Oryctolagus cuniculus: one gene and its partner. The protein of the gene in region 1 interacts with the protein of each later gene in a biochemical or structural test. Links are inferred from orthologs where the notes say so. Each region holds a gene or a part of one and is shown on either strand. Other genes may lie near its edges.

Region 1 (4,487 bases):
TTCGCATCAGCCCAGCTCCAGCCATTGCAATCATTTGGGGAGTGAACCAGCAGGTAGAAGATCTCTGTCTCTCTAAGTCTTTCTCTCTTCTATGTAACTCTGCCTTTCAAATAAATATATCTTAAAAAATTCAAATACCTGTTTGACATCTAAATAGGAACATTACAGAAAGATACACACTTTCAGTGATAACTAGGTACAGTATATATCTAAATCCATATCTGTCAACTTGTGGGGTTCCATAAAGTTCAGAAGTAGACAGAAAGAGTAAGCATCAGACAGTAAAGTCCTGAAACATGTATCATATATCATATCTGTCTTGTCCAACTGTTGAAATCCTAGTCTTTTTAAGACTTATTTTATTTATTCAAAAGGTAGACAGAGATCGAGGTGGAGATCTAGATCTTACACCTGCTGGTTCACTCTCTCCCAATGGCTGGGGCTGGGTCAGGCAGAAGCCAGGAGCCTGGATCTCCCTCAGGGTCTTCGATGTGAGCAGCAGGGGTTCAAGTGCTTGGGCCATCATTCACTGCTTTGCCAGGCACACTAGCAAGGAGCTGGATGGGACTTGAAACAGCACTTGCTCATATGGGATCCTAGCTGATATCACAGCTGGTGGTTTAAACCACTGCACACGCTGCCCTACTCCCTTTGTAACCCAATCATTTCTTAAAACAGTTCAGACATCAACTGTTAAGAAGTCTCCCCTAATCACCTTAATTCTTTTCTCCTCTCTTATTTGGGTATCTTAAATGTGCTTATGTTTCCCCATTGAAGATTGTACCCTAATATTTGTGACCAAAAACAAAGATCTCATTACATTTGTTTGGCTTTCTTTGACATTAACATTGTAACTTACAATATGCCTCATATAGCAGGCCCTCAATAAATGTCAACTGACCAAAATCACAGTGTAAGTCAGAAGCAAAAGTTACACTATAAAGACAAAATATTGCTGGATGAAAAACAAGACTTCCAATTTTACTGGGGGGGAGGGGACCCATAAAAATAACCAAATCTTTTTTCTCTTTAAATTAGTAAGTCTATGGAGGCAGAAAAATAAAGAACTTCTATTCATAGAAAATAATAAGACAGGGTTGAATCCAAAGTGCTTACATTATATATTCTCTCAATGGCTAACACTATGAGCATCTATCCATAAAATGAGCTGCCTAAAATATACTGCTGTTATGCCTATCACCAAACAATGTATCATTTATACTGCAAAGGTTCTAGAAGGAGGGTAGGCAGCATAGAAATACTCACCAGCAGACAGTGGGCAAAGTCTGGACCTCCCACCAGGCCAGTGAAATTTCCCAACTGCTCAGCAAGAGCTAACAGTACCTCATCTTCATCATAAATTGTATCTGAAAAGGACAACAACCAGGTACTCACCAACAAGGTAACTGGCCAAGAGCTGGACACTCACATAAAACTAGCAATAGATTCAATATGTAAATAGTAAAAACATCCAGTCCCAATCCTAACAGTATTTTCTCCTCAATGAACAGTTTTCCTGGATCTGATTTACAGAATGAACTAGAAATTCATACCTTCATATCAGTGACTTCCCCATTAGCTATACACAGTTAATGTTTGTACGTATCTGGCCACAACATTACCATATGTGTTGTTGAATTTCTTTTGCACAGAAAATACCAGCCTCAATTTGGTGCTTTTTGATACTGTGGACAACAAACTCTGAAAAACAGCCAAAGCTCTGAAAGCCATTGGTAAATGGAAATGTCCGTGCCTTTCTTGAAACACAGACTCACACACCTGTAAGGAATGGCAGCAGTTCAGTTCTTGTCCTTTCTACTCCAAGTGCTAGAGCAATTGTTGATAACTTCTTAATACTGTTGAGTCGGAGCTTTACAGGAGAAAATGGAAAGAACAAAATAAAAAATGATTGCAATGTAGACCAAAAGGCAACAGGAGCAAACAGGTGAACTAACTAACAGGTCTAGGAATAAGGATAATCTTTCATTTACACTTCATTGGTAAGGAACAGTAATGTAACACAGCCTTATTAGCCAGAGGGAGGATTCCTAGGCCAAACTCTCTACAAGGGCCCGAAGAGAAAGGAATGAAAGAAAATACTCAGCAAGCGGGACAATGTTAAAAAGCCAGAACTCCGGCAGCGACGAAGCAGGTGAGACGGCTGAATACAACCTACACCGAAGCAGACACACCGCCTCACTTAGGTTCCTCAGCCAGGCCACCCGCTTTCTACCCAACAGGCCCAGCCAGTTTCCAGGCCCAGGGGAAGAGGCTGGGCTGCACCTCAAAGGGCCCTCTGGCATCCTGCGACCCGCAGGCCGCCCAGCTCCCACGCGGCCCGGCCCTGCGCCCCTCCCGAGGGCTCGCACGCTGGGCCCGCAACGGGGCGCCCAGGCGGGAAGCCGGCTTTCCGACAACAGCCCGGGACGGTCGGAAGCCCGACGGAGGGGTGCTGGAGAGGCCCCGCGGTGGGCCGGGGCTCGGCGCCACAGCCCCTCGCGAGTCTTTCCAGCTTCCCCTTCGAGTTTCTGCTCCGCGTCCGGCTCTTTCAACCTCCCGGCCTCCCTCACAGCGGCTCCGGGCTTCCCCCTTCCCTACCCTGAGCGACGCCGGACCAACCCGCCACGGCTCTCCCCGCCCCAGTCCGGTACCTGCACGTCCTCGTTGCGGAGTTCGTCGATTAAAACCGCGATCGGATATAGCGAATCGTCTCCATCTCCGCCCGCAGCCCCCGGGCCGGTACCGGGCCCCGCCGCGCCCGCCATGTTCTTTCTCCTCCGGATGGTCGCCGCCGCCAGCCCCCGCCCCGCGCCCCGCCCCGCGCCCGCGCCACGCCCCGCGCCACGCCCCGAGCCCCGCCCCGCGCCCGGGCGGGCGGGGCTGAGGCCTCGGCGCGGGCTCCGCGGAGGTGGGAGCACCGAGCCTCTGCCCCGCCGATGGAGGCTCCCGCCCGACCCCCATTGCAGGAGGCGGAGGTCCGAACTCCAGAAGAAAGGTGGGCTGTGAAAGCGAACGGAAGCCCAGTGTCCTTTCCTCAGCCGAAAGAAACAGGGGCAGGGATTCATCCTGCTCGTTGTGGTCTGAAGGAGGCAGGTACCTCCGTGAGCGATCAGTGTTGTGCTCTATTAGGACTCAGGCCGGCCAAAAAGGGTGTCCGAGGCCAGGAGGAAGAAGGTTTTAGCGCCTCCCCTGCCTTCATCCTGGCCCTGAGCCACTGGGTCTCCAGGCTTCATCTCTGCACTCAGGATCAAGCTTCCACAGAACCCCTCCACCTCTTCTTGAGCCTGCTCGCCAGAGTTGTATCTGGCTCCTACTCTGTAAGACAAATAACGCGGGCGGCGAGAGAAAATGAACAGTGCTGTCCAAACTCCCCAGTCAATATTTTTTCCACGCAAGCTGTTAAAAACATGCTGCTCTCTTGTTTTTATGTTTCTTTTCAGTTTGGTACTGGAATGGTGCCTTCTGTTGTATTTTCTTCCTCCCATTTTTTAGCTCTTTAGCATGCAAGAAGTACAACAATCAAGCAAAACTAGGACAAGCTCTAATCCTTGCAAACTGCGTGGAGTGGCTCCTGTGCTCCTTGCAAGACAGCCTGACGTGGCCTCCCCAGACCCGAGTGTCCTCAAAGGCGGCCCTGGGGGAACGTGGGGGTCTGGGAGTTTTTCCCTGCAGAAATTCAAGGGAAGGTTTTCATTTACCCGTGTTAGGGCAACACAGAATACCTAGATGTCCTGTCCCTGCTTTTGACTGGAATTCAAGTAATAACTACATAGGAGGACTACAAGCTCTGATATTTTTCTGTCTTATTAATAAATACGATTTTGAGCCGGCACCGCGGCTCACTAGGCAAATCCTCCACCTTGCAGCGCCGGCACACCGGGTTCTAGTCCCGGTCGGGGTGCCGGATTCTGTCCCGGTTGCCCCTCTTCCAGGCCAGCTCTCTGCTGTGGCCAGGGAGTGCAGTGGAGGATGGCCCAAGTGCTTGGGCCCTGCACCCCATGGGAGACCAGGAGAAGCACCTGGCTCCTGCCATCGGATCAGCGCGGTGCGCTGGCCGCAGCGCGCAGGCCGCGGCGGCCATTGGAGGGTGAACCAACGGCAAAGGGAGACCTTTCTCTTTGTCTCTCTCTCTCACTGTCCACTCTGCCTGTCAAAAAAAGAAAAAAGAAAAAAAAAGAAATGCGATTTTGGAGACAAATGTTGACTAAAAAAACACGGGATTCCCAAATGTAAACACAGTGAGTACAGCTTTTGATAGCAATGCAAGTGGGGACCAACAGACCTGAACAGTTTCCCTCAAATTAGGCCTGTGGATATATTCTCTATAGTTTTATTTTCATTTTGATTTTAGATTTGCATAAGTATATGCTGTAATATTTGGATAACTCACTTTATTTTTTTTAAAGATTTCTTTATTTTTATTTGAAGTTCAGTTACACAAAGAGAGGAGAGTCAGAGAGAGAGAAAGAGAGAGGTCTTCCATCCAA
Region 2 (3,813 bases), on another chromosome or scaffold:
TAAAGACTGGCACCTGTCAATAAGACACATGAAAAATAAATTACAAAAGGTTCACTGCTTCAAATAGCACATAAGGCTCAGAACACTTCATTACTGTAATTTTTGAGAGGACAAAGAATGGTACAATATTACATAGATTAGCTTTAAAAATGAACTGATGATGACTCCTTAAATTGTTCAAATCAGCAGAAAATGAACATATCTTTAATTTTTTTTTAAAGGCAGAGTTAGAGAGAGAGTGATCTTCCATCTGCTGATTCGCTCCCCCCAAATGGCTGCCAACAACCAGGGCTGGGCCAGCCAGAAGACAGGTGACAGGAGCTTCTTCTAGGTCTCTCATGGGGGTGGCAGGGGCCCAAATACTTGGGTCATCTTCTGCTGCTTTTCCCAGGTGCATTAGCAGAAAGCTGGACCAGAAGTGGAGCAGTGGGGACTTGAACCAGCAACAATATGGGATGCCAGCACTGCAGGTGGCAGCTTAAGCTGCTGCACCACGGCCTGGCTCCTGGACAATTTATCTTAAAGTTTATTTACTTTTTAAATTTATTTGAAAGAACAGAGAGAAAATAATAGATATCTTGTTTCTGCTGGTTCACTTTCCAAATGCCTGCAACAGCAAGAGCTGGGCCAGGTTGAAGTCAGGAGTCAAGAATTATATCACCTGCCTACCTGGGTGCAAATTAGCAGGCGGTTGGGTAGGAAGTGGAGGTGAGATTTGATTCATGCACACCAATATGGGGTATGGGCATCCCAAAAAGGAGCTTAACCTGATGTCCCACAATTCACCTTCTTTTACTGGCAGCAATACTATTAGAATTTGCAGTTCTTCTTGGTTCAAAATCATTTGCTTGAGGAAGTACAATGCTAACAAGTACTTACAGTTCACAGCAATTTAAGGCTAAATAGGAAATAATTCCATAGCATTTAATTCTGGACAGTTTTAGCTACAATTGTATAATTTGGCCCATCCCTAGTTTTTGGTCTCCAAATAGAATTAATCTTGAAGCTTAATCTTGTAATAGCTGACATTCCAACTATGAGAGCGGGAGTGTGTAGTGTAAAGCAGCCTTCTGTTTTGAGTTCTAGTCCTGCCCTGGCTACAGTGGGGCCTCTATGTATGTCAATTTTTGTATTTAAATGGGAATTATTCAAAGTCCTACCTGGTTACAGAATTGTTGGTGTAGGTTAACTCTATTTCTATTCAGGTTCTGCTCAGAATCTAAGCCTATATGATAAGAATACAGATCACTATTCATGAAAATTATAACCATTTTTTATATACTTACTCGTAGTGTAGTAACCGTAGTAGGATCTCTATATCTTCCATCTTCCTCTTTCAAGTTATACCCTTCTGGTCTTTTGTCCCTTTCACTAATTTTCCATAATTTTATTGTTTTATCTGGAGAAGAATAAAGAAAGTTCTTAAAAAGTAGTAACAATGATAGAACAAAAACATTTTAAGGCATTTTAAACGCGTGATTTTCATTATTTTTCCAAAAAGGATTTTCTTATAAAATTCCTTAACTGGCTTAATTAGAAGTTTCCTATTACTGGGTGAATAAAAGTAAATACGGGGCCAGCACTGTGGCATAGCAGGTAAAGCTGCCGCCTGCAGTGCCAGCATCCCATATGGGCGCCAGTTCGTGTCCCAGATGCTCCACTTCCAATCCAGCTCTATGCTATGGCCTAGGAAAGCAGTGGAAGATGGCCCAAGTCCTTGGGTCCCTACACCCACATGGGAGGCCCAGAAGAAGCTCCTGGCTCCTGGCTTCAGATCGGCGCAACTCCGGCCATTGCAGCCAATTGAGGAGTGAACCAGCGGATGAAGACCTCTCTCTCTGTCTCTCCTTCTCTCTCTGTGTAACTCTGAGTTTCAAGTAAATAAATAAGTCTTAAAAAAAAATACACATAAAAATACAGTGCAGATATCACAAATTTAAACATTAATGGTACTCTTTGTAATACTCAAATCAAATTACAGCCATATCTCGCTTCTTTATCTACATACATATGCTTATTCAATTGTTTATATTACCCTAGACACATATGCATTTAGTTAATACTGTGTGATACTAAAATTGCATCTTACATAAAATCATTACATTCCAATCTTTCACAAGTAAGAAGGTCTAACAATTTTAGTCATCTTATAAAGTAGTTCAAAGCAACTCAAGATACCAGTGACCCCTTATGTCTGGCTATCTCTCTCTTACAGAAGAACACGAGTTATTTCAATGGATACCTTTCTGAAATATGAAGCTCTAAACCCAGTAAGATTCCTAACTCTTGCAACTTGTAATCTATTATTTTTTCCTAAACCCTATGTAATGATGTGTGTAATATTCCAGCAGTTAAGTGATGCATCCCCTAGCTGTTTTGTGTCTTGTTTAAATTCATCACTTCTATTAAGGATTAGATAAATAAATCACAATATTTCAAATTGTGACCAAACTTTCAAATAAGACAATTTTAGTTTGAGGTTCCTAATAGTGTAATGCTGGAAGAACTCTTTTTTAAATTCCTGAAAAATTGGACATTAAAACACATTAAACCAAAAACAAAATATTTTGATAAATTTTGAGGCTCAGGAGGATAAAGACTTTTTTCAAGAGTATAAACATAGGATACAGAAGTACGATGACAGTACATCATTTCAGTGCAGTACCTTGAAGACAAGGCAGATTAGAAACAAATTAGTAATTTAATAAATGACAAAAATTTCGAAATCCTTATGTTCTACAGAGGTTTTCTGTTTTGTTTTGTTTTAACCTGAAGCTTTTGGTCCTTAGGACGAGGTAAATGAAAATAATCAAAGTACATAAAATTGTACACAAGACTATGTAAATATATACTGTTTTTATGGTTTATTTATTTGAAAGTCAGAGTTACATAGAGAGAGAGGAGAGGCAGAGGCAGAGGCAGGGACAGAGGGATGGAGGGAGGGAAGGAGGGAAGGGGGGGGGGGTCTTCCATCTGCTGGTTCACTCCCCAGTTGGCCACAATGGCCGGAGCTGCGCCGATTTGAAGCCAGGAGCTAGGAGCTTCCTGCAGGTCTCCCATGTGGATGCAGGGGCCCTAGGGCTTAGGGCATCTTCCACTGCTTTCCCAGGCCACAGCAGAGAGCCGGATCAGAAGTGGAACAGCTGGGACCCAAACCAATGCCCATATGGGATGCTGGCACTATAGGCGGTGGCCTTACCCGGTACACCACAGCGCCAGCCTCATATATACACTTTTCAGGGCAAGGGATTATTAGACTCTCAATGAGATCTCTTCCTTCCAAACTTGTTGCTCTGTGCTATTTCCCTGTATTTTCAACACTAATAGCTCAGCTCAAGTGTTCCACAAGTCCACATGTTCCTTTGTCTTTCTGACTCCAGCATAAAGTTGTAACAGAGAAAACAATGTTACCAAAGTCTCTCTTGTGGGAATGCAGATTTACATAAGACCTAAACAACTATTTTATCAACAAGCTGCTAAAACCAACAATTTATTAAGAAACTGTAATATTCATGTATTCAGAACTCACGGTCAACAGGTTAGTTTGACATTTTTTTTTAATGTGGATGAATTAGCAAAAATCCAGAGAAAGGCAAAAGATTAAAAAGAATAAAAACATTTCAGAACTGATGATGTAAAAAATGTGACTATGAAGTCACATAATAAAAAAATTTGAATAAAAAAATCTGAGAAGCTGTAGTTTATAATGATCACCGGAAGTTAGTGTAAAGAAAAAAATAAAGGGGCCGGCACTGTGGTGTAGCAGGTAAAGCTGCTGCCTGTAGTACTAGCATCCCATTTGGCGCCAGTTCC

What was found.
Region 2: the proteins of PPP2R1B (region 1) and PPP2R2A form a complex in vitro, tested with the Homo sapiens proteins (2 studies listed by BioGRID). The link is inferred for Oryctolagus cuniculus from reciprocal best matches to the Homo sapiens genes PPP2R1B and PPP2R2A.

Annotation. Positions count from the first base shown.
Region 1 is NC_091432.1:103,722,076-103,726,562, forward strand, and holds the start of PPP2R1B (serine/threonine-protein phosphatase 2A 65 kDa regulatory subunit A beta isoform), read right to left. Parts: upstream 2,810-4,487; 5' UTR 2,766-2,809; coding exon 2,652-2,765; intron 1,871-2,651; coding exon 1,780-1,870; intron 1,368-1,779; coding exon 1,267-1,367; intron 1-1,266. Other genes in the region: alpha-1,2-mannosyltransferase ALG9, read right to left, coding at 3,126-3,315. UniProt on the Homo sapiens protein: The PR65 subunit of protein phosphatase 2A serves as a scaffolding molecule to coordinate the assembly of the catalytic subunit and a variable regulatory B subunit.
Region 2 is NC_091433.1:47,880,006-47,883,818, forward strand, and holds part of PPP2R2A (serine/threonine-protein phosphatase 2A 55 kDa regulatory subunit B alpha isoform), read right to left. Parts: intron 1,400-3,813; coding exon 1,287-1,399; intron 14-1,286; coding exon 1-13. UniProt on the Homo sapiens protein: Substrate-recognition subunit of protein phosphatase 2A (PP2A) that plays a key role in cell cycle by controlling mitosis entry and exit. Involved in chromosome clustering during late mitosis by mediating dephosphorylation of MKI67.